Oryctolagus cuniculus: one gene and its partner. The protein of the gene in region 1 purifies or fractionates together with the protein of each later gene. This does not show direct contact. Links are inferred from orthologs where the notes say so. Each region holds a gene or a part of one and is shown on either strand. Other genes may lie near its edges.

Evidence for each region.
Region 2: the proteins of CLTB (region 1) and CLTCL1 purify together in Homo sapiens (affinity purification with mass spectrometry; 3 studies listed by BioGRID and IntAct, with this or other methods). This does not show direct contact. The link is inferred for Oryctolagus cuniculus from reciprocal best matches to the Homo sapiens genes CLTB and CLTCL1.

What each region holds. Positions count from the first base shown.
Region 1 is NC_091437.1:62,400,733-62,409,241, reverse strand, and holds part of CLTB (clathrin light chain B), read left to right. Parts: intron 1-5,126; coding exon 5,127-5,244; intron 5,245-5,440; coding exon 5,441-5,552; intron 5,553-7,230; coding exon 7,231-7,284; intron 7,285-8,509. UniProt on the Homo sapiens protein: Clathrin is the major protein of the polyhedral coat of coated pits and vesicles.
Region 2 is NC_091452.1:27,068,830-27,078,130, reverse strand, and holds the start of CLTCL1 (clathrin heavy chain 2), read left to right. Parts: upstream 1-4,283; 5' UTR 4,284-4,392; coding exon 4,393-4,434; intron 4,435-9,301. UniProt on the Homo sapiens protein: Clathrin is the major protein of the polyhedral coat of coated pits and vesicles. Two different adapter protein complexes link the clathrin lattice either to the plasma membrane or to the trans-Golgi network.

The DNA of each region.
Region 1 (8,509 bases):
TGTGGGTGGTCCGGGCCCAGGGAACAGCATGTGCAGACACAGAGGGCAAGACGCTGGGGCTCACCCACAGCTGGGGCCTGCTGCACAGAGGTCTGTGACCATGCCAGCCTGGAGGAGCCAAAGGTACTGAGCTGGTGCCTGCAGCAGGGCGGGGCGGGGCGGGGTAGGGAGCTCTATGCGGGTTAGTGCCTTTGGTGCGCACATGGGAGAAAAGCAGACTTAGCTTGGGCAGAATCTGCACCCTGTGCCTAGAGGGGGCCGGCTGAGGAAGATGCCGAGCAGTGCCCTGGATGTGCAGCTCAGCTGTTCCAGGAGACAGAAACCCCCGCCCAGGCTGTGGGCTGCGGGCTACAGATTGAAGCAGAAGACCAGGGCTTCCTTTCCTGCTTTGTCCCAGCCTGGCGATCTTGGACCAGTCACTTAATCACCTGAGCCTTAAGTCTCTCATCTGGAGAAATGGGATTGGAGGCTCCGCCTGCTGCCCCCACCGGGCTGTTGAGAACAGGGCTTTGTAGAAATCTTAGACCCAGCTTCTTAAAACTCTTGACCCAGCCACCGTGTGAGTGGAGGGGAAGCCTGTGTGTGGAGACACAGTCTCCACCCCTGGGAAGGCAGACTCATCAGGGGCACAGAGAGGAAGCCCCACTAATCCTGGGATGCAGATGTGACTGGTCCCCCTTGAGCTACTTCCTCTGGGACAAGGACGTTCACACCGAGTTTGAAATCTGGGTTCTGCCACTTCCCAGCTGGGTGACCTTAGCACTTTGGAGTTTAGGGTTCCACTACCTGTAAAAGGAGGCTAATAAAACCGGCCACGTGGAGCTGTAAAGATCAGAGCCAATCATTTGCGTGCAAGTTCTCTGGAGTCATAATTTTAGGGCAGGCTTTATGGAGACGGTGAGCCCTGAAGGGCACCCTGGGAAGTGACCCCTTCTTCAGTGCCCCTGCCCTAGCCATGGAGCATCTATAGGCTTAGTGTGCAGCAGCGGCACTAACCCACGCGCTGTCTCTGGAGCCACCAGCTCCCCTGCCCCACCCCGCTCCCCTGTCCCGCTCCCAGGAGATAGGCTGTCCTGTTCATCCTTGTCCCCAAACCTGCCATCTGTGACATCATTCAGGAAGCATTCCTGAATCCTGCCCCGGGCCCTCCCTGTCCAGAGCCTGTGTGGAGCCTGCAGGCTGCTGTTGCCCTGGAGCTTGCTTACTTAGGGGCAGGGCAAGGCAGGCAATAAGCTGACAAGTCATTTCGCAGAGCGCTAAGGGAGTAAAACACAGTCATCCTTGTGGTATCTGTGGGGCATGGGTTCCAGAAACCTGCAGATAATGAAATCAGAGGATGCCCAAGTCCTCTACGTCAAATGGCACTGGATTTGCCTGGAACCTAGGCGCACCTCTCCTCTACTTTAAATCATCTCTCCTAATCCAGTGTAAACGCTATAGAAAGAGTCGCTACACTGTGTATTTTTTTTTTTTTTTTTTTTTTTTTTTTTTTTTTTTTAAGAAATAGTGACAAGAACTACAAGCCTGCATCCAGGATGGATGCAGTCCCTTGGTGGGTCCACCTACAGGGCGCCACCCGTGGTTGGCTGACTCTGCAGATGCATGGAGACCCTGGGCTGGCTGCAGGGCAATTGCTAGACAAGTGGTTACGGGGAGGTGAGGCTGCTGCAGCCAGGGCCGGGGCGGTGGGGGGAGGTCAGCAGGCCTGGGAGCAGGGGGCTTAGAGAAAATCTCAGGGCTGAAGCCTGAAGAGACGGGGAGCCCTTGCAAAATGTAGGTCCTGGAATCTGTGGGCAGGAAGTTCAGACAGAGACCCTGGGCGGGCACATGCTGAGCTTGCTGCGGCACCAGCCTGCTGGAGAGGCTGTAGCCCTTGGGCTGCCCGCTGGCCGCAGGGAAAGGCCTGTGGACACTCTTGAACTTGTGGTATCATCTAGTGTGGGCTTTGAACAGGTCACGGTGGCGTTGTGTGGAGAGGGAGGCACAGTGGCTGGGTCTGCAGGGTGGCTGCTGGGCGGAGGCAGCAGGGGCAGAAGACAGGAAGTGATTCTATCATGGCAGCCTCATATCTGAGCCATTGCTGATCGGTGGGGTGCGAGCTGGGAAGGAAGGGGAGATCTCGGAGGGCAAGCGTGAGGCTTGGGCCTCAGGCAGGGAATGGATTACAGTGCCTTTTACCAAGATGGGGGAAAGAGGAGAGGAGCGAGTCTGGGGAATGGAAACTCATATGAAGGCGGAGATGCCTGTTAGACTCGCACTCGGGCCAGGGCGGGGATGGGGAGCGCCCCTTCAGCCTGTTTGCTTCCAGCGATCGGCTGGAAGTCAGGTGGATGCCTCTATTTGATTGCTTCCTTTGTTTCATACTTTTGTGACCTCATGGGGGTAGCTTTCTTGGAGCGGGATGGATAGTCCACACAGCTACAGGGCTGAGCAGGGGATTGAAGGGAGCATTGGGACAAAGCCACGCACGCAGCCACTGGGCACGTCTGCAGAGGGAAGGTTACTCATGCATGACTGGGCAGGGCCGGGGCAGGGGGAGGCCCCAGGAGCCAGGGCTCAGCAGACTGGGGCTGTTTCTAGCGAGGGTAAGGGAGTAATCAGCCACCCACCTGCGTTCTCCTCCTATGGCCCTGGCAATTGCCCACTCACTGGAAGTTGTGGGAGAGGGGTCATTCTGCTTTGTGTGGGAGTCAGGTAGTATCCCAGGTGCCCCACCCCTGGGCTGGGCCTAATCAGAGACTCCCTGCCCGAGCTCGCCCTTCCCTCGATCCCCAGACATCAGAGACGGAGGCCAATGTTCCCTGTGCCCCTTCGTCCTGGGCACACGCCTTGGGCAAACACTTCCTCCTGGGAGCCAGCACCAAGCTGGCTCTGCGGGTCCTCACGGATTCAGTGTGCTGAAGACAGAGGCCATGCCAGACCTTGTCCCATGTGCAGAGACAAGACGACCAACAACATGGGCAACCAGGGCAGTTTTGCTAAGTGCCTGAAGGAGGAGGATTGGGGGCAGGGTGCCACGAAAGCACAGGACAAGGGTTCGGGTGCAAATAGTGCCCCCTGAGAGCCCCTGATCCAGCCAGGAAAACTCCAGTAGAAGGTAGGAAAGGCAGGGCGTGTGGAGAGGAGGGGGCCGGGCACATGCCTGGGGGCTGGGAACTAGCCCAGAGTGAGTTCAGCGGGCAGAGAAGGGCAGAGAGATGGGCACAAACTGATCGTGCCAGCAGGCCCTGGGCACTGCGGGCTGCCAGTGTGTGGGCTGCATGCAGACAGGAATGCCCATTGTCTGGCGCCCCAGTGGGTGTGGCAGGACCCAGGGCTCCATGCTTCAGAAAGGAATGCCAGATCGGGGGGTGGAGGGGCGCCCCATCCTTGCTGGGCTGAGCTTGGAGTCCCCCTCTCTGGAAGGCAGTGGGGAGAAATGGGCAGACCCCAGGCTGGGAGTTGGAGGCCTGGGCTCGGGCCCTGGTTCTGCCATTTTATTTTTTAAAGATTTATTTATTTATTTGAAAGGCAGAGTTACAGAGAGAGAGGGAGAGACACACAGAGAGGTCTTCCATCGGCTGATTCACTCCCCAAATGGCCACAACAGCCAGGACTGGGCAGGAGCTAGAAGCTTCTTCTGAGTCTGCCACGTGGGTGCAGGGACCCAAGCACTTGGATCATCCTCTGCTTCTCTCCCAGGTGCCATCAGCAGGGAACAGGATCAGAAGTGGAGCAGCCAGGGATCAAACCGGCACCCATATGGGATGCGGTGCTGCAGGCAATGGTTTTAACCCGTTGTACCACAACACCAGCCTCTCTGCCACTTCCTTTTTTTTTTTTTTTTTTAAGATTTATTTATTTGAAAGTCAGAGTTACAGAGAGAGGTGAGGCAGAGAGAGAGAGGGAGATGCTTCACTCCCCAATTGACTGCAATGGCTGGAGCTGTGCCGATCCGAAGCCAGAAGCCAGGAGCTTCTTCTGGGTCTCCCATGTGGATGCAGAGGCCCAAGGACGTGGACTATCCTCCACTGCCCTCTCAGGCCACAGCAGGGAGCTGGATCAGAAGTGGAGCAGCTGAGTCTTGGGGGCTGGCGCTGTGGCACAGCAGGTTAACACCCTGGCCTGAAGCGCCAGCATTCCATATGGGCACTGGTTCAAGACCCAGCTGCTCCTCTTCCAATGCACCTCTCTGCTATGGCCTGGGAAAGCAGCAGAAGATGGCCCAGGTACTTGGGCCCCTGCACCCACGTGGGAGACTGGGAAGAAGCTCCTGGCTCCGGATTGGTGAATTTCTGGCCGTTGCGGCAAACTGGGGAGTGAACCAGCAGATGGAAGACCCCTCTCTCTCTCTCTGCCTCTCCTTCTCTCTCTGTGTAACTCTGACTTTCAAATAAATAAATAAATCTTTAAAAAAAAAAAAAAAAAAGAAGTGGAGCAGCCGAGTCTTGAACCGGCGCCCATATGAGATGCCGGCACTGCAGGTGGTAGCTTTACCCGCTACCCCACAGCGCTGGCCCCTAAATAAATATTTTTTTTTTAAAGAAAGACAGAGTGAAAGAGAGAAACAGACAGATTTCCCATCCACTGCTTCACTCTCCATGGCCAGGACCAGGCTGGGCTGAAGTAGGAGCCAGAACACAACCCAGCTCTCCCTCATGAGTGGTAGGAATGCCATGATTTGCGGCATCACCACTGCCTCCCAGGGACCACATTAGCCGGAAGCCAGAGTCAGGAGCTGTGGAGCTGGGCATGACACCCAGGCGCCCCCAAATGGCACGCGGACATTCTAACCAGTGTCATACTCTCTGGGTGGGGCGATTGCTTAGCCCATTGCATGTCGAAGAAGGTGGCTGCCGCGTGGTTTCCTGAGTCTCCTGCTTGTGGGGTGTGAATGAACGTGGCCGACTGGGCACAAATGTCAGGCACAGAGAGGTTGAGTAGCTTACCCAGGGTCGCCCAGCAGTAGGAGTGGCGCCGGCAGGGAACAGCAAGTGCAAAGGCAGGGGACGGTGGGTACGAGGGGTTTGAGGCTGTCTGGCTGTCCAGATGTGAGAAGCACTCTGATGCTCGGGTTCCCCAGCAGGGCAAGCAGAGATAGTGGGCAGGTGTGCAGGTCCCTGCACAGCCATGTGTCTGTGTCCTAGGAGGCTAATGGGCCTGCCGACGGCTACGCTGCCATCGCCCAGGCTGACAGGCTGACTCAGGAGCCCGAGAGCATCCGCAGATGGAGGGAGGAGCAGAAGAAACGGCTGCAAGAGCTGGGTGAGGACCGGGCCGAGCCTGGGGCTGGGCTGGGATGCGGCATGGGCGGACTAGGGAAGCAAAGGGTGTATAGGACCCGGTGGTGTCTCCGTGTGGGAGCTGGCGGAGGGCGGGGGTCCTGGGGCTGCAGGGAGGGGCAGCTGTGCCCTGGCATCCCACCGGAAGAGCTGCCACTCATTCTCCTGTGGGGTCCTAGATGCCGCCTCTAAGGTGACCGAACAGGAGTGGCGGGAGAAGGCCAAGAAGGACCTGGAGGAGTGGAACCAGCGCCAAAGCGAACAGGTTGAGAAGAACAAGATCAACAACCGGTGAGAGCCTGTGGGGACATGACAGGGGCCCAGGGACGCAAGGGCGCTGTGGGGACATGACTGGGGCCACAGGGACGCGAGGGGCTGTGGGGACATGACGGGGGCTGCAGGGACATGAGGGGGCTGTGGGGACACGACGGGGGCCACAGGGACACAAGGGGCTGTGGGGACATGACGGGGGCCACAGGGACACGAGGGGCTGTGGGGACATGACGGGGGCTGCAGGGACACGAGGGGCTGTGGGGACATGACAGGGGCCACAGGGACGTGAGGGGCTGTGGGGACATTACAGGGGCCACAGGGACGCGAGGGGCTGTGGGGACATGACGGGGGCCACAGGGACGTGAGGGGCTATGGGGACATGACGGGGGCTGCAGGGACACGAGGGGGCTGTGGGGACATGACGGGGGCCACAGGGACGCAAGGGGGCTGTGGGGACACGACAGGGGCTGCAGGGACGCGAGGGGGCTGTGGGGACATGAGGGGCTGTGGGGACATGAGGGGCTGTGGGAACATGAGGGGCTGTGGGGACGCGAGGGGCTGCAGGGACGCGAGGGGCTGTGGGGACATGAGGGGCTGTGGGGACACGAGGGGCTGTGGGGACACGACAGGGGCCACAGGGACACGAGGGGCTCAGATGCAATAGGCGCCCACTGTTTCTGGCCCTCAGTCTGCCTCCCTCTGTGTGGGCTTCAGTCTTGGGCACACGCTGCTGGCGGGGGTGGGGGGGCAGAGATGGCCACCAGCAGCTCCAGGCTTCTGTGCTGTGCTCTCGGAAGCCCCCTGAATGCTGCATCTGGCTTCAGATGGCTCCTGCCGAAGTCCTTGCCCCTGTCCCTGACCCACGGCAGGCCCAGTGACTTGCCAGGACGAGGGGCGCTCCACTGGGCCCCCCTCGGGGGTGATGGTCATATTCCTTGGTTGAGGTATGGGCGTCTGTGCCACCCAAACCTTAGGGACTGAAGTGGGGGCAGCCTGAGGCTGCCGAGGACAACAGGTGCCATTCTTAAGGAAGGGGGTGCATGCCCGCAGGTGAAGCGGCAGGGCTGCACCAGCCAACACCCCGAGATGCCCGCGGGCTGGGCCCCTCCAGCTGCAGGCTCTCTCAGGAAGGGCAACACCACGTGGGGAGCTGCCACACTCTGTTCAAGAAACTGCCCATGGCAGGTATGGAGCTGGGTGCACACACAGGAGGCCCTGTGTGTCCTCGGAAAGCTGAGAGGAGAGAGAGAGGCATGCACTGCCGACCTTGCAGGGCCCTCAGTGTGGTGGCCATGGAAGCAAAGGAAGCGAGAAGCGCTGGGTGCGGAACCTCAGGGCCTGGGGCCTTGGGCTTTGGAGGATGACTAGGAGTTCTGGGGAAAAAGGAAGCAGGGGTTATGGGAAGGCATTCTAGATCCAGGCGCCGCCTGGGACGTTGGGCGGGCCTTGGCTGACCAGGTCCCACAGGGAGCCTGGCAGGACAAGTAACAGGTTCAGGGCCCAGTTTTGGAAGCGGCACCGTGGCCAGGACAGAAGATTGCCCCTCTGCCGGGTGGGGCCGAGCCTTCCCGACACCTCTCCTGCCAGAGGTACTAACGCTGTCTCTCTTTCTCTTTAACCCTCTGCCTGCCTGGCTGCCTACCTTGTCTGTCTTGCCACCCTTCTCCCTGACCTAACCCCTAACCTCGCCCTGAAGGATCGCCGACAAAGCATTCTACCAGCAGCCGGATGCTGACGTCATCGGCTACGTGTATGTGCCTCCTCAGCTGCTTGGCTGCTGGCCGGTGGCTGGCACGGTTTCTGGAGCCCCAGCTTGTAGGGTATAAATGAGCGGGGGCTGGCCCTGGGGCAAGCCCAGGGCAGAGCGGACGCAGGCACCACCCTGCCTCCAGAGCCCTTGCAGGGCAGGGGAGGGGGCCCCGTGGGGCTGAAGGGTGCTGGGGTGGGGGGGTTGTTTTTATCGGGGGTACCCTTGGCAGGCCCTGGTGCTGTCCTGGCTAAGGCTTCTCTCCCAGAGCACAGAGCACAGCAGGCGCCTTCCTTCTACCCGCTGTGCCAGCTGCCTGGCACTTACCAGGCCTGTGTCAGGTCCAACAGGAATAAGGAGCACACAGCCCGTCCCCCTCCCCTTGCTGCTGGTCTGGATCTGTTCTAAGAGAGCGTGGGAGGAGGCCCAGAGCACTGCTGGGGCAGCCGGGGCGGGGACAGGGCTGGAGCTGCAGCTGAGCCCAAGTTGCTGGGTGGGGAGGGTGGAAGGAGGAGAAGAGCGTCTGGGTGGGAGAATCAGCCGGGGCGAGGGCGCAGAGGGGAGCCACCTGGCCCCGCAGTGGGGGAGCGCTGTGCGGGGTGGGGCTGCCTGAGAGGCGGCTAGCTGCAAAGTGCCCGCTGTGCAAGGCTGAGCCGGGATTGATCCTGAAGGCAGTGGGGAGCCATGGGAGGTTCCAGCAGGGGCCAGGGGACCTGCACAGGGGTGCTCCTGCTTAGCAGCCCAGGGAGCATCCAAGCGGGGGAGTCTGGAGCGGGGCTCCCCGCCCCCCTGCTTCCCACCACCCCTGGATGACTGCAGGATCAGATGCAGCTGCAGCTTCTGATTGGGGGCACTGAGGCGAGGCCCAGGGCTCTGCATTTGCAGGCTCCATGGTGAGGGTGACACGGCAGGACCGTGGGGCGCCGAGGTAGAAGGAAGCCTCTTGATGCTGTAGGGGTGGCTCCTGGGGCAGCTTCCCCCACCAGCAGTCACCCTGCGCCCTCTGTATAGCACACACCTGCTGCCTGGCGCGGTTCTCAGGGCAGGAACCAGCTGTGCAGGGCAAGGCTGGGAACCTGCATTTCACACGCTAGGGGCTGGCCTGGTCTGGTTTGGGGCCAGCCCCTTCCCGCACAGCCCGCGGGACCACCTGGAGAGCATCCTGCCATCAGCCATGCCCTGTGGTTTTGCTTCCCATGCCTGGGGCAACTCCCAGGAGAAAGGGGCT
Region 2 (9,301 bases), on another chromosome or scaffold:
CCAGACCCAATTCAGGCCTCTTGGGACCCACTTCCCTTGGTGCTCAGTGCTGTGGACAGAGAAATTGAGGGGCAGCAGGCTGCTCTCGGGCAGGCCATGTGCCCCGGGCGCCTCTTTCCCGCAGCACCACGCCAGATCCCAGCAGTGAAGATGGCTGGCATAGAAGCTCCAGCGCCTCCTCCGCCCCATCCAGGTCTACCCTGTCCCACACCAGGCCTGCACAGGAAGCCTCAGGCCCAGAATGTGACAGAGCCCAGAGATGTACTGCAAATCCCTGCAGAACAGGAGTCATCCTTCACACGACATCTCAATTCTCTGCAAGCTGTGCGGAGCGACTAGACGTGGCACTTCCTCAATGCGAAACATCGGGGGCAGAGCCAGTGCCTCCCCTCCACTGAGTGCTTCCTGCCGTCCAGACGTGGGGCAGCCCACGCTGCCACGCGAGGACAAGTGGAAGCATCCCAGGACACAGCTGGCCTCCTCTCTCTGTGATAGAGCATTGCACCAGGCTGCATCCGTGGGGTGGGGAGTGGGGGGTCTGGGAGGGACAGGGTGCCTGGGTGCCCACCCTGGCCATGGCCATGGCCTTGGCCTTGGAAAGAAACACATTCTCCTCCTGCTTTTCCACAGGAGGTTGGCGGGGGGTGGGGTGGTGGTGGGAGTTCCCCAGGGGCCGACTCACACGCACCTGTCGCTGATTTCCAGGCCAGTGCAGAGCAGGGATGGGGCGCACTGCCATCAGTCACAGGGCCTGGGGAAGCAGCGGCAGGTGTGGGTGGTGCAGGGGCTGCCCTGGGTGCAGTGTGTTAGTGACAAGGTGGGGAGGGAAGACCCCCGCTCAGCGAGAGGGTGCTTGTCCCCAAGCCCTGCAGTCCTGAGTCCCCCCTGGGGCTTGGCGCCGAGGATGGGATCCTGGTCTCTGCTATGTGCACCCCCCCCCAGCATGCCTGAGCCTCGCAAAGCACCCTGGGACCTGCTGCAGGTGTGCCAGGGTCTAGGGTGAAGCTGGCGCTGAGATGGGCCTGGCTCTCTAAGGCACCAGCTGCCGGGCATCGGGGTGGAGTGGGGGGAGAGTGGACCACACAAGGAGCCTACACTGAGGGCCTCCTCCATTCCCTGGAGCTCAAAGCCAGGGTGGCCACCTGAGCCTGCCCATCAGCAGAGAAAGGCCAAGGCACTGGCCATCTTGAGAGATAGCGGACAGAGGAGGAGCCCCAGACCCAGGCTGAGGCTGGGCAAGCCCCTGGCAGCAGCAGCACCTCCAGTGAGACCCTTCCCACACAGCTTCGGTGTTGTGTTTCTTCTAAAATGGAGAGGAGCGGCACTGTGGCATAGCAGGCAAAGCCACCACATGCGATGCCGGCATCCCATATGGGCACTGGTTCAAGTCCTGGCTGCTCTGCTTCCGATCCAGCTCTCTGCTATGGCCTGGGAAAGCAGTAGAAGATGGCCCAAGTACTTGGGCTCCTGCACCTGCATGGGAGACCTGGAAGAAGCTCCTGGCTTCGGATCAGCCCAGTCCTGGCTGGGGAGTGAACCAGCAGATAGAAGACCTTTCTCTCTGTATTCCCCTCCCTCTGCCTTTCAAATAAATAAAATTAATTAATTAGTTAAAAAGGAGAAAGAAAAAGGGACAGTGTCGCTTAGTAGAGCGGATGGTTGGTAGAGGCCCATGGATTCTCTGCGTATTACGTGCTGGGGTCCTTGCCCCTCCCTGGAATCCTCTCGCTGAGGCCTGCCATGCCGCACCCCCCCCCCCCCGCCTCGCCCCGCCCCACCCCAGCCTGTGTTTGAATCGTGCGTGTTCTGAAGCCAGGCCTCCCCTGCGCTCACACCCTGTGCCCTGGGATTGGCTGGGTTGTCCCCCCAGCGTCTTCTGTGGAACAACTCCTCCACTTCTTTCAGCACCTCCAAGGCAGAGACACAGGCCCAGAGACGCCCAGCGACCTGCCCAAAACAACCAGCTGATGAGCAGCAGAGCAAGGACTTCCTGCAGCGCTGCCAGGCCCCGGGTCTGCGCGTGGACCCTAGGGGCTGGCCAGCCAAGGCGTGCCTAAAACCCTGGGTCCTCTAAAGGCTCGGGATTCTTGCAGCTGTGACGTTTGGGGGCCTAAAGGGGCCCATACTGAGGGCCTTGGACATATATTTCCGAAGAGTGAATTTAGAGACGCTCCCTGGCAGCCTCAGGGGTTCGGAGCAAAGGTTGCCTCCAAGTGAGGTCCTCTTGTGCCAGCCCCCTCCCACCCCCACTTCTGGGCTGGCAACGGCCCCTCCCTGTCCTGTGTCTCTCTGGGTGCCAAAGGGCAGCTTAATCCACTGTGCCTTGGTGCTGGGCCCCCTTCATTGCTTTTTTTTTTTTTCTAATTTTTTGACAGGCAGAGTGGACAGTGAGAGAGAGAGACAGAGAGAAAGGTCTTCCTTTGCCGTTGGTTCACCCTCCAATGGCCGCTGCGGCCGGCGCATCGCGCTGATCCGAAGCCAGGAGCCAGGTGCTTCTCCTGGTCTCCCATGGGGTGCAGGGCCCAAGCACTTGGGCCATCCTCCACTGCACTTCGGGCCACAGCAGAGAGCTGGCCTGGAAGAGGGGCAACCGGGACAGAATCCGGCGCCCCGACCGGGACTAGAACCTGGTGTGCCGGCGCCGCAAGGCGGAGGATTAGCCTAGTGAGCCGCGGCACCGGCGCTTCATTGCTTTTAAAACAAAGTCAGTCCATGAGCCTAGGTAAGCCCACCACGTGGGACTCGAAGCATCTGAGCCATGGCTGTGGCTCTTCCACTGGTTCCAGAGCGGGCTGAGGCCTCGACCCCGCCCCTGCTCCTTGTAAGCCAGGAGACCTCGGGTGAGAGCGCCTACTGTGTAACAGGTGAACAGTGGGCCTCACAAGGCCATCAAGAATGGGGAAAATGGCGAAATTAAGACCCCTGGCTGAAAACGACCCCCATTGTCCTGGTATCCTACCTGGCCCCCACGGGCTGGGCTCTCCCCCGCCCTGGCCACCTAGCTGGGACTGCTGATGTGACTGTCACAGCTCCAAAGCATTCTCCCCAGAGGCCCGCCGACTTCCAAGTGGAGCCACCCTGCTCCGTCCGTAGTTAGCAGGAGCTCCCGAGAGCCGGGCACTTAGGGGACAGCCGGTGACCTGGCTGCTTTGTTAGCGGAAGGGGCATTCCTGCAGCTTCTGTCCAGCACGGCCCCGGCTTCCCCTGGCCCCTGCCCTCCACAGCCCCTGGGTGCTCACTGAGGGATTAACAATAGCAGCAGCAGCCAGAGGACGCCTCGACCATGGTGGTGGTGGGGGGCGGGGGGCTGCTAGGCTGTCCGTTCTGTCCCCTCTCGGGCTTATCAGTGGTCCACAAGCAATGCTTGTGCTGGAATGGGCTTGGGCGGAAGTCATGGGCCACCGATGTCACAAGCTGATTAAAGCCACCAGGGGTCACGCCCCAGGGGGCACACTCAGACTTTTCCCTGCTCCCTCTCCGTTATGACACTGCAGAGCACCTACGGGCTGCAGGCTGAGAGATCCCCACGTGGCCCGCAGCCGGTGAGGGTGACGGGGACAGGTGCTGCCCAGCCCAGTGCACACAGGGGGTGCCCCGTCTGGGCCCAGCAGCCCCATCCCAGAGGCAGCGCCTGGCTGAGTGTGGAGCACATCCCAGTGGCTGTCCACTTCAGTGTCCTCAGCCTTGAAAACCGGAAGGAGAGGACTAGGGGCGGATGTCCCATGCTGATGGTGTTGCATGACAATCTGAAATCTGAGGCTCTGAGACACTCTCAAGGTTCCCCTGTACGCTTCTGTCAACAACAACAAACGGCCCTGGCTGGCGCACGGAACAACCAGGCTCTGGGGAAGGGGATCCCGGCGCCCGGCCAGCACACACCTGCCCATGGCACCGCCGAGGACACATCCTCGCTTGCCTATGTGCACTTGTCCGGGTCGGACCCCGGACTCAATTCACCTTGCACGGCCCCCGGACACTCTCGGAACCGAGTTCACTCTCCCACGCACGCACACCTGCTCTGGAGGGGCCGGCCCAGGGGGTCCCAGTCCACTTTCCCGCGCACTCCCTCGAAGCCAAGGCCACCTTGGCGCGCAACTGCCCCGGGCACCCAGCCGGCCACAGCGCCAACGCTCTCCAGGCCCGGGACGAGGAGGAGGGTGCGGGCGGCGCCGGCCAGAGCAGCGGCGCCCCGGACTACTTTTCGCGGACCCTCCGGACGGGCGGAGGGATCCTCATAGGGCGCGCGCGGAGGGATCCGCATAGGGCGCGCGCTCGGGGGGCGCGGTGCCGGCGACCCGGGACAGTGCGCCTGCGCCGCCGCCGCCGCCACCGCCGCCGCCGCCGGTCTGTCCGCGCGAGGGGAGCCGCCACCGCCTCGGCCCGGCGCCCACCATGGCGCAGATCCTCCCCATCCGCTTCCAGGAGCACTTCCAGGTGAGGTCGGGCCCCGACGCCGCGGCCGGGCGGGCTCCGGGGGGTGGGTCGCGCGCTGGGTCCTGTCAGCCGCGCCCCCCGGCCGGCCGGCCGGCTGACCGCCCGGGGGGCAGGCCTCTGGTCTCACGGCCCCGCGCCCCTCGCCCTGCGGTGCCGCTGGCCCCCCGCCGCAAGCCGCGGGCGGACACCTGGGTCGGGGTCCGGCTCGGGAGCCGCGCGTGCGGACGCTTTCGGGGCGCTGTCGCTCGGCGGCTCGGCGGGGGGCGCCCGGCGTCCGGAGCGCTGGGAGAGCTCGGGGGTGGGCACCGCACCGCACGCCTTGGAAACTCCGAGTCCAGCTTCCATTCTCTTCTCTGTGTCTTGCGACCCTCACCGCTGAGTTTCCGTCTGTGGATCTGTCCCGGTCCCCCCTGGTGGCTGGTGGGGCAAGACAGTCAAATCCGTCTCGGATGCGTAGGATCGGCGTTTGTTATTGCCTGTCAGTTAGCATCCCTGGTATCCAAGTACAGGTGCTTTCGTTAGGACCCTCGAGTATGGCACCTGCTAACACACCGGTGCTGTAACACCCGCGAGGTTTTGCTCTGCCGTGAGGTCCCCATTTGCTCTGCCCAGCAGATTCGTGCTGGAAGGGGGGTGGTTCAGGAAGGTGGGCGCACCTGTGAAAAGGTGTCCGCTTACAGGGGGAGGGGTTGAGGCTGCCGAGGCCCTAGCTGAGGGCTACGTGCTAAGTGCTTCCTTTGAAATCATCACAGTCCCCTAGGGTACTGGATGAGGAAGCGCCGGGGGCACCAATGTTCATTCAGCAAACCGAGAGCGGGATTCAGACTTCAGACTTCGGGCTTCTTGGCTACACAGCTGTGGCAGCTGCCAGGAATGGGGTTGATGGAGAGGTGGTACTTGGGAGTTTCAGGGGGACCGGTCCGGCCCCCTCTGTCTGTGCCTTGGAAGGGATGCCCGGATGATCCTGCCCAGATCAGTTGGGGAGTCAGCCGGTTGAGGTCGCACAGGGTGGGGGTGGAAGCCTTGAACCTCCATCTCTCTCCCTAAGCTGGGGCAGCGCCAGTCAGGCGAGGTAGCAGAGTACCTGTTGATAAAACGAGGGTACTTCGGAGAGTTCATTGGCAGTGGCATTACAAGAAGTTTGGGGCGGGCATTTAGCCCTGCAGCTGAGAAGCGCGCATCACGGATCTAGACGATGTGGGTTTGGCTCCGGCTCCCCGCTCCCGGCTCTCGCCTCCCGCCTCCCGGGAATGCATCCCCAGGGGGCAGCAGTGACGCCCCAAGTAATGGAGCTCCTGCCACCCAGGAGGGAGTCTTGCATTGAGTTCCTGGTTTCCATCTTTGGCCCCAGGCAGCCTGGACCATTGTGGGCATTTGGGGAGTGAACCAGTGGATGGGAGTTTTTTTCTCTCTGTCTCTTTCGAGAACCTAAAAAAGAAAAAAAAAATTTTTTTAAAGAGGTGAGTTTATTTTGACACAAGAAAAGGCTTTGAAATCCATGCAGTTTTTTTTTTGTACTATATATTTTTACTGAACTTTTTGTTGCATGGGTTTCAAATTTTTTTTTTTATCAAAATAAGCTTCCCTTTTTATTCTGTTTTCCACAAACTTTTTGAAGTCCCCTCATACTTACCATTTATTGGGCCATTTGTCTTTTTAAAATGTGTGTGTGTGTGTATTTATTTATTTATTTGAAAGAGTTACAGAGAAAGAGAGGTTTTCCGTCTGCTGGTTTACCCCTCCAGTGGCGGCAGTGGTCTGCTGGGGCTGGGCCAGACTGGAGCCTGGAGCCAGGAGCCAGGAGCTTCTCCTGGGTCTCCCACATGGGTGCAGGGGCCCAAGGGCTTGGACCATCCTCTGCTTTCCCAGCACATTAGCGTGGAGCTGGATCAGAAGTGGAACAGCCAGGACTCGAGCTTGATGTCCATATGGGATGCTGATGTCTCAGCCAGCAACCTTACCTACTATGCCAAACCCAGCCCCAAGAGAGAGAAGTCGGCCGGCGCCGCGGCTCACTAGGCTAATCCTCCGCCTAGCGGCGCCGGCACACCGGGTTCTAGTCCCGGTTGGGGCGCCGGATTCTGTCCCGGTTGCCCCTCTTCCAGGCCAGCTCTCTGCTGTGGCCAGGGGGTGCAGTGGAGGATGGCCCAGGTGCTTGGGCCCTGCACCCCATAGGAGACCAGGAGAAGCACCTGGCTCCTGGCTCCTGCCATCGGATCAGCGCGGTGCGCCGGCCGCAGCGCGCCGGCTGCGGCGGCCATTGGAGGGTGAACCAACGGCAAAGGAAGACCTTTCTCTCTGTCTCTCTCTCTCTCACTGTCCACTCTGCCTGTCAAAAAAAAAAAAAAGAGAGAGAGAAGTCTTCCATGTGCTGGTTCACTCCCCGTTTGTCCACAATGGCCGGAGCTGTGCCTATCCAAACTCAGGAGCCAGGAGCTTCTTTCAGGTCTCCCACACAGGTGCAGGGGCCCAAGGACTTTAGCAGGGAGCTGAATTGGAAGTGGAGCAGCTGGGTCTTGGGATGCCATCACTGCAGGCAACGGCTTTACCTGCCAAGCCCCAGGCCCAGCCCCAAGAATGGGGCCTTCTTAACCCCCAGGCTCAGTGTCTGACTTGAGCCCTTTCTTTTGGACTGGATATATTAGAGATCTCTTTTCACTGAATCTTCCTAGGAACTGATGATAATCTCGTTTTTACCATAGTTGACTCAGGTGATTTCAGAGTCAGTGACAGCTCAGATCCCACCCAAGTCTCTGCTTCCATAGCCTGAACTTAACCTGCCGATCAAATGTGCTGTTTTCTTTAAAGACAAGAAAGCAATCAGCTGTTTTAAATGTCTGTCCACGGTGTCTTGAAGGGCTGTGTTCTGTCTCTCCTTTTTTTTTTTTTTTAAGATTTTATTTATTTGAGAGGCAGAGTTGCAGACAGAGAGAGAGGTCTTCCTTCTGCTGGCTCACTTCCCAGATGGCCACGAAGGCTGCAGCTGTGGCAATCAAAGCCAGGAGCCAGGAGTTTCTTCCGGGTCTCCCACGTGGGTGCAGGGACCAAGCACTTGGACCATCTTCTACAGCTTCAGCAGGGACCTGGATCGGAAGTGGAGCAGCTGGGACTTCAACCAGAGCCCATATAGGATGCTGGCACCCTCCGGTGGAGGCCTAACCTACTATGCCACAGCGCTGGCCCTAGGCTGTGTTCTCTTATCTGTAAAGTACTTGTGGCATGCAGACAATATAAATGAAACTCTGTGGTCTGTGGTCTCCGGATTACCCGGGTACTTGGCGGCTGCTCTGTGCCATCAGCACACTCTGCCTTCATGGCAGACATTTCAAAACTTAGGCTTGTTTTTGGATCTCTGATCCTGCCACACCCATCTTGCTGCCAGCCAGTGACTTGGCAGTGACATCACAGGGACATGACTGGGGAATGTTCATCCCCTCCAAGGCTTCAAACTTACAGACATCTCTTCCTGCCTTCCCGTCCCTCAGAAGTGGTGTCCTTAACCCTCATCTGTGTTCTGGATGCTGCGCTTTCTCTCCTCCAGGAAGGGCCTTGCTCAGTACCATCTTCTCTTTCCCTTGTTGTTTTTTGTTTGTTTGTTTTTGCCAGGCAGAGTTAGACAGTGAGAGAGAGAGAGACAGAGAGAGAGTTATAGACAGAGCAGAGAGAAAGGTCTTTCTTCCGTTGGTTCACCCCACTAATGGCCACTATGGCCGACGCTGCACCAATCTGAAGCCAGGAGCCGGGTGCTTCCTCCTGGTCTCCCATGCTGGTGCAGGACCCAAGCACTTGGGCCATCCTCCACTGCACTCCCGGGCCACAGCAGAGAGCTGGACTGGAAGAGGAGCGGCCAGGACTCAACCCAGTGACCATATGGGATGCTGGCACCACAGATGGAGGCTTTACCCACTGTGCCACAACGCCAGCCCTGAACACACTTCTTTCTGTCCCTTCGTCCTCCCCTCGAATCTCTTCCCTCAGAGACAGAGTGAAGGAATTGCCTTCTCTATCCAGCCACTCCTTGCTGTTTCTCAATAGCCTGCTGCCTGGTTTTGGCCTGACTCACTGTTCTTGCCAGGGTCACAGGGTCACAGGTCATCTATAAGGGCCAGATAGCTTGTATGTTAGGGTTGGAGGCCATATCCTGTCTCTGCTGAGGCTCCTTCTCCCTTTTATTTACCTTGTAAGCACTTCCCCAGCCGCCTTCATGGTGCTGCAGTTTGCTGGGGTTTCTCTTACCTTTTTACACACCCGTTTCCATGGTGGGCTCCTCGTGCACACGAGCTTGGGCTCTGCCTTGAGTCCCTTTGCCTTCTCATTCAGTGTGCTCTTCCGGGTGATTTTTAGGGATTCCAGTATGCTCAGTGTTCCCAGTGTTTTTGCTGAGCTGTGCACATGAGAAGCAAGAGCAGGCCCTGGTAACAGCTGAGATGAGGTCAGACTGAGCCATGAGATCTCGCCTCAGTACTCACTGGCTGTGGGAATTTGGGCAACATTTCTAACATTTTTAAAAAATATTTATTTATTCATTTGAAAGGCGCCGCGGCTCAATAGGCTAATCTTCCGCCTGCGGTGCCGGCACCCTGGGTTCTAGTCCTGGTCATTGCACCGGATTCTGTCCCAGTTGCTCCTCTTGCAGTCCAGCTCTTTGCTGTGGCCCGGGAGCGCAGTGGAGGATGGCCCAAGTGCTTGGGCCCTGCACCCGCATGGGAGACCAGGAGAAAGCACCTGGCTCCTGGCTTCGGATCAGAGCAGCACGCCGGCCACAACGTGCCGGCCGTAGCAGCCACTTGGGGGGTGAACCAACAGAAAAAAGAAGACCTTTCTCTCTCTCTCTCTCACTGTCTAACTCTGCCTGTCAAAAAAAAGA